Linked DNA regions of Stegostoma tigrinum. The protein of the gene in region 1 purifies or fractionates together with the protein of each later gene. This does not show direct contact. Links are inferred from orthologs where the notes say so. Each region holds a gene or a part of one and is shown on either strand. Other genes may lie near its edges.

Region 1 (3,754 bases):
GCCATAATGTCAGTTAAAGGGAAATGGGTCTGGGTGGGATGCTCTGAGTTGGTATGGACTTGTTGGGCCAAAGGAGCTATTTCCATACTGTTTGGATTCTATGATGATGAAATGTCATTCTGTTACCTGTTTTGCTAATGACACTGCCTGAGCCTCCAATTTGAGAGACTGAGACAGCGACGTCTACCACTTTCTTCGGCAGTTCACTCCACATAACACCCAATGTGTGAAGAAGTTGCCCCTCAGGACCCTTTTAAACCTTTCTCTTTTTACCTTACAGTTATGCCCTCTAGTTTTGAAGTCCCCCATTCTAGAGTAAAGACCTTTGCTAGTCACCTGATCTATACCACTCATTATTTTATAAACCTCTACAAGGTCACCCTTCAATTTCTAATGCTCTGGTCAGACCAGTTCCAGCCTCTCTTTATAAGTGATACCCTCCTGTCCCAGTAGTGTCCTTGTAAATCTTTTCTGCACCTGCTCCAATTTGATGATATCCTTCCTGCGACAGGGTGACCAGAATTGTACACAGTACTTGAAAAGTGGCCTCACCAACGTCCTGTACAACCATAACATGACATCCCAACTCCTACACTCATTGGTCTGATAGTGAAGGAAAGCATTCTCAAGGGGCTGAATGGTCTCATCTTGTTTATAAAATTTATAGGTCACAAGCAGGAAAGTAGAGCTGAGACCAAGATGTGACGTTACTGAAGTTTAGAGGAAGTTCAGGGTGCTGTAATTGTCAACTTCAACTTCTACTGAGTGCAAACAATTATTTTTATCTTACGTACGGTTTTCTCTTTCACACACCTACAAGGCACAACCTCCCACTAGAACTCTCTCACGTGATGTCAACCCCGCCCGACCGTTACTCCACCCACCAACACAGCGGTTTCCGGTCCCCGCGCCCTGCCCCGGAAGCAGACTCTGGAGCCAGGCAGGCCGCGATGTTGTCGCGCGGGTCCATCGAGATCCCGCTCCGGGACACGGACGAGGTGAGAGGTCGGCAGCGGACGGCCAGGGGCTCCGGAGCCCGGGAGGGGGAAGGAAATTACCGCGGGGCCGGGCCAAGCTCGGGAGTGGGGCACTGTCTTACCGTCTGCCGGCCGAGGCTTTTCCCCGAGGCCTCGCCTGCTGTGGCCGTGGGGACTGTGAGAGGTGTCGGGGTCTCTGGTGGAAGAGGAGCGGTGAGGGATCCGGGGACCTGGCATTAGTTGTGTTCTCAGTTAGCATCAGTAAGAACAATTTATAACATTGTCGGTGTCAAATTGTTTGACTAATCTCGGTTGCGGGATCTTGCTGTGCGTATGAGGAGCAGGCGAGTCGATGTTACGAGGCTGGACCCTTCAACAGGACTGGGATTGCCCCATTTCTGAAGAAGGATCCCGACCTGAAATGTCGACTTTCCTGCTCCTCTGCTGCTGCCCGACCTGCTGTGTTTATCCAGCTCCCCACCGTATTGACTCTGTCTCCAGTATCTGCAGTTCTTGCTATCTCCTTGCAGTGCGTCCTTTGGTTGAGGGATCTTCACTGTGTACTAGTTTGCTATTGGATCTTGCTGTGCGTTACTTGGCAGTGGGATCTTTGACTGCCTACCGAGTCCCTGACACGTTTCCTAATAATAAATTCTTAGTAATAACTGTTCATTGCTGTAAGAGCTTTGGGATGTCCTCCGGTTCTGAAAGATAATTAAGGGTTTCAGCCTGAAACGTTGGCTTTTCTGCAACTCGGATGCCGCCTGACCCGCTGAGCTTTTCTTGCCTCCTGCCTGTAGACTCTGGCTTCCGGCACCTGTAGTCCTTATTGTCTCCACATCAAGACAACGTGTTTCTCTTGTTTTTGTTGTCTCCGTGATCAACTACTTCATCTTCGTGAACTTTGGCTCATTCAAAACTGCTGTCCGTGCTCAAACCTATTACAGTGATGTCCACCCTACCAGTTTATAAGCCTTGAGACAAACTCTTAAAAATGAACTGATTTGGTGTAGAAAGCTGCAGTTGATCATTGTGTTTTCAAACTTCTGTCAACAGACCAACTTACAGCAGGTGCAGGCCACCTCACCCCTTCAGCCTGCTTTACCATTCAGCAAGATCATGGCTGACCCGATTGTATCTGAAAAGTCCACATTTGCACCCATGCCTGATAATGTTTGGCTCCCTTGTTGATTAAGATGCTATCTATCTCTGCCTTAAAAATACTCAGTTACTCCATTTTAATAGCTCACTGGGGAAGATAGTTCCAAAGATTTAAGATCTACTGAGAGAAAAAGGTATTTTCATCTCCATCTTAAATGGAAGATCTTTTATTTATCACCCTTAGTTCTAGTATCTCCTTCAGGAAAGAACATATTTTCAGTATTTATCCTGTCAAGTGCTTTCAGGATTTTATGTCTCAATGCAATCACCTGTTTTTCTTCTAAACTTCATTGGATACTGGGTCAACCCGTCTTAACCTTTCTTCATTAGATAACTAATACCTGGGATGGGATTTAAGTGAGCATTCTCTGAACTGCTTCTAATATGTTTATATCCCTTCTTTAGTAAGGAAATCACAACTAAACAGTAGTCTGATATGGCCCCTCCAATGGTCTGTACAACTGTAGCAAACATTCCTACTTTTATATTCCCTAATCACTTATTATTCCAATATAGTAACTTTGTGATTTATGTCCCAAGATATTCCATTCCCTCTGTGCTTCGGGATTTTACAACCTTTTTCAATTTAAGTAATATGCTGCCTTTCTGTTCTTCCTGACAAAGTAGAAAGGTCTGCATTTTTAAAATTCTATACTCCATCTGCCAAAGTTTTGTCCATTCACTTAGCCTGTTTGTATTCCTTAGCAGATCCATTATGTCCTGTTCAAAACTTACTTTCCTACTTCATGTCATAGATAAAGTTAGCAACCATACATTTGACTCCTTCATCCAAGACATTTATATAAATTGTGAGTGGTTGATTCATGTGATATTACATTTTTGTGTCTTGCAAACCTACAGTGACCTATTTATGCTAACTTTGTTTCCTGTTAGGTAACCAATTCTCTATCCTATTATGCTATTCCTACAGCACGAGCTGTTATGTTGCTTAGTAACCTTTAATGTGACATCTTGTTCAGTGCCTTTTGATATGCAAGTATATTCATGAGTTTCACTTTACTCACATTGCAGTTTTCTGAGAAAGTAACAAGCAAGAAGTTAAGTAGGATTTCCATGATTTATTCAAACTTTCAGTACAGTCAGGCTAATATGCCTCAACTTCCTACACTATATTCCCTTATATACAAAAATGTACCAACCACTGTCTGAATAGACTCAATAATAGAGTACCCACAGCTCTGTGATTTAGAAATTCCAAAAGATTCACAACCCTCTGAGCAGTATTCCTTCTAATTTTCTTCCTAGCTGCATAGGCACCTGAGGTCCATGCGTGGCAGTGACTCCCAGAAGCAGAAGTCAGTGACACCAACCCCAAAATGTAGATTTCCCAGCAAAAGAAAAGAAAACTTGGCGGCCAAACAATCTCATCTTTCAATTGACAGTTGGTTTCTCAGCCTCATCAGTGAGTTGTTTGATCTATAACAGGTCACAGATCTCTAATAGAAAGAATATTATTTTATCTGACAATGCTTAGGTTTCTAAACAAAATTGTAGAGAAAAATACTGTGGATAGAAATCTGCAATAAAAACCAAAAATGCTGGTAGCATCCAACAGCATCTTTGGAGATATATAGAAAGGAAGTTAAAGTTTTAAA
Region 2 (3,754 bases), on another chromosome or scaffold:
ATACACCCATTTCTTCTACTCCAGGATCTGGTTACGATGTTCATCAGTCCCAAATTAAATAACTGCCCACTCTCGTGGAAAACATTTAGTCTCCATTCTAGCTGAGCCAAGGCTACACACTAAGTTTGGAAGTAAAACCTACAATATTCATCATAGGTTACCTGGTGTAATGTTTATAACACTGGATTATTAATCCTTACAATGCAAGTTCACAAATAATTCAATTTTAAAAGTCTGAAATCAGTGAAACAACATACTGTATTAAAATTCAAAGTGGTCAGATCACCATAAAATATCTAACTGATCATTGATATTCTTTGAAAGAGATAATTCTACTGCCCTTGACTAGGCCAGCCCATTTGCAATTCCAGTCGCACAGAAATGTAAGAATATTAAATGTTTTTTGAAGCAGCCTAATAAGTCTTCTTTAGCAGTTTAACAGCTGAATGGAAGTCCACCACTATTTTATCACTACAACTACAGGACGACTACCAATACTAGCTTTGCAAAACTCTCAAAAAGGCATCTAGATAGGTATATGAATAGAAAAGGTTTAGCGGGCTTGGGCCAAATGCCGGTAAATGGGACTGGATTTATTTAGGATATCTGGTTAGCATGGACGAGATCGACCAAAGGGTCTGCTATAGTAATCAAAATGACCTCACAAATCAGAGATATATTGAAATTACAAGATTACCCCCAGGGCACATAGAACCACTTAAGTGACCATTGAATTTTCTTGTTGAAACTGTAATGATTCAATGTCCATTAGGGACTACTGGTACATCCCCAAAATGGCTATATTATTTTAAGCATAGATGCAGACATATTTGAAATTGTTACAATACACTTTGGCTCCCACATTGCCAGCTGTCCTGCTGAGGAGTGAGGATTCGGACTAGGACTGAGCAGAAGCATCCATACAGTCGATTAAAACATTACCCTTTCAATGGCAGATTAAATTTAGTTTAGGATTAAATCGATTTTTATCCCCTATTTACAACATATTGTAGCATTGTATGGTTTCTAACGCCAATCTGCATCAGGATGCAATCTGGTTGTAAATTAGAACATACAGCTATAAGCGTACTACATCTAGATAGGCCAGACTTGAATCAAAGAAATCAACTTCAAAGGGGTGGCGGGTCTAATCTGCAATTTCTGACAAACAGAAACCACAGAAATAAGCAGAGAACCAACCAGAAACTCCAAAATAAAGGCAAATTGAAATCCAGTTGCAACAGCACAGATTTTAAGAGTTAAAACTTTTACCTTTATACAGAAGCTTCCCATTCTGCCACATCTTAGAGAGATCCAACTGTGGCAAGCTGTTGTTATAACATCACATTGTCCTTTGATTAGAGAAAGCTGGAAATAATTGCCCTTTACAAAGCCAATTTGCATTTATATAGAACCTTTAACATAACAAAACATTAAGGCACTTTCGAGGTATTTTGGTGTTTTAAAAAAAAGGACACCAAGCTACACCAAAAAAAATTGGGACAAATGTCAAATGTTTGGTCAATGAACTCTGGTTTAAAGGCATCTTAAACAAAGACAGATGGATTAAAATCAGAGGGTTTTAGGAAAGGAATTCCCAAGTTAAATGTCTTGCAGCTAAAAGCATGGCTCAAGAGGCATGAATTAAAGAAACGTGAAATTTCCCAGAGGATTGTGGAGCTGGATTACATTGTATCAAAGGGAGAGTCTCGGCTACTGAAGGATTTGAAAACAACGATGAAATTTTGAAAATTAAGGTATTGCTTAACCAGAAGCTGGTTAGCAAGCCAAGAGGTGACAACTGAATACAAGTGGTACAAGTTACGACATCAGCAGATTTTTCAATGAACCTCATATTTACATGAGAGGCAAGGCCAGAGAGCCTGCTGCTCAGCACCCAACACCAAACACCGAACAAACTGGAAAACCGATATAACATCCAATAATTCAAATTTTTTTTTAAAAAATCATCAGAATTCAACTAAGCAATCAACATTCTTAAAAGAGAAAATTCCACACCAGAAGTAAGTACTACTTGTCCGCACTACTTCCCTTATACATAACTTACATTCTTGAGATCACTAATTGCAGAGGGATATCAAAATTATCTGCTAACGCCATTTCATACATTTACTCTATCCATTGCCCATCACTTAATTATTCATTACCAATATTTAAAAATAACTTTGAATTAACCTCACGAAAAAGTGTTCCTGATGGTTTGTAAAATAAAAAAATTACAAGTATTACATTTAAAGTCAGCGTGGCAGCAAAACATTTCTGTTCTCTTAAATGTACTGAGCAGTTCTATTTAATTCAGATAAATCGGGACTTCTAAAGAATGCAATGTCATCACTTTCACTCACAACAGAGTGAAGACACGGGCGTATTTTTGCTTTCTACGGATAGAAATTAAAGACATAAATTTATTAAAACAAGTTGATTAACACCTCAGATAAAAGATAAACATCCAGGCAATGGCCTGACCCCGGATTCCCCAACGCTCGCACTGTGTGTTATTCAATGGGTCAAGCATTGGCTTTCCAGGTGTTTAGTCAAATGTCTTCGTGGTAAGATTCGTTACTCTGTTTCTCGAGTTGTGCCTCCACCGTGAATCTCTGAGATAGTTTAGAAATCCTGTAACTGGCGATTCTTTACCTTCTTCGGTTCCTGAGTCTCTGACAAGCGAGTCTGCAGCTTTAAAACCTGCTCCTGCAACCCGTCAGCAGCCATGATCCCACCGTCTCTGGCCCAGCAACCACCCGGAAGTGCTTCCACACATTCAACCTGGAATTGAATAGCTGCCCGTTGTAGTTGATAGACCTTATTCACAACCTCCATCTTAATTTGACGTGTGGCTCAGCAACTTCCACTTTGTGTTTATCATTGAGTTTACCATCGGCCAATCCAAAAATATCCATGTACACGAAAGTATTAAATTGCTAATTCCCATTTCAAATAAACCTGTTGGACTGTAACCTAGTGTCGTGTGATTTCTGACCTCTGACGACATGCCCTAATATCGTGTGGAATTATAGAAAATTCGGTAGGATGTCCAATTTTACTTTAAATCCGCCTGTGACATTTTTAAAGGTGCTGTATAGATACAAGTTGTTGTTGCAGCTGATAATAATAGAAATAAGTACATTTGATTAAACATATTAATGATACATGAAAGCTAGATTTATTCCTATATAGAAATTATTACTATAATTTTTTTTATTAATAACTAACAAAAACCTCTCCATGTAGTAAGTTGTTGTTAAACAGTTTGATTTTAAGAAGAACAAGAATTAGATTACTGTTGTGACTCTGCATCTCCCCTTAGGCAGTCCCTGGAGACTGAGGATGACTGTCTTCCACTATGAAGCTGGGGATCTTGAGGCCACTAAACAGTTTGCTGCTAGGTCCATACAGCCTGCCACGGATAGGCAGGTGGTATTTGAGGATAGGCTGTTTGGTATGTTGAAATTTCTGCATGCTGTATCCTCTGTTCAAAGGAAATTCAAACAGAATGACACCTTCATGGGTGTTTCTTCTCTTCGTGTGATTATGGGAGAGAGATTCCCAAGTATCAGTGGGGATGTCACAGTTTTTCAGGGATAATTTGAGGACATCCTTTAAGCATTTCGCCTGCCTTCCTGGTAATCATTTAGTCTTGGAGTCACAGAGTAATACAGCATGGAAACAGGCCCTTTGGCTCAAACTGGTCCATGCTGACCATGGTGCCCACTCAGCTAGTTCCAATTGCCGC

Evidence for each region.
Region 2: the proteins of ctr9 (region 1) and eloa purify together in Homo sapiens (affinity purification with mass spectrometry; 4 studies listed by BioGRID and IntAct, with this or other methods). This does not show direct contact. The link is inferred for Stegostoma tigrinum from reciprocal best matches to the Homo sapiens genes CTR9 and ELOA.

The regions. Positions count from the first base shown.
Region 1 is NC_081370.1:36,438,972-36,442,725, forward strand, and holds the start of ctr9 (RNA polymerase-associated protein CTR9 homolog), read left to right. Parts: upstream 1-888; 5' UTR 889-950; coding exon 951-998; intron 999-3,754. UniProt on the Homo sapiens protein: Component of the PAF1 complex (PAF1C) which has multiple functions during transcription by RNA polymerase II and is implicated in regulation of development and maintenance of embryonic stem cell pluripotency.
Region 2 is NC_081377.1:20,889,843-20,893,596, forward strand, and holds the start of eloa (elongin-A), read right to left. Parts: upstream 2,752-3,754; 5' UTR 2,734-2,751; coding exon 2,659-2,733; intron 1-2,658. UniProt on the Homo sapiens protein: SIII, also known as elongin, is a general transcription elongation factor that increases the RNA polymerase II transcription elongation past template-encoded arresting sites.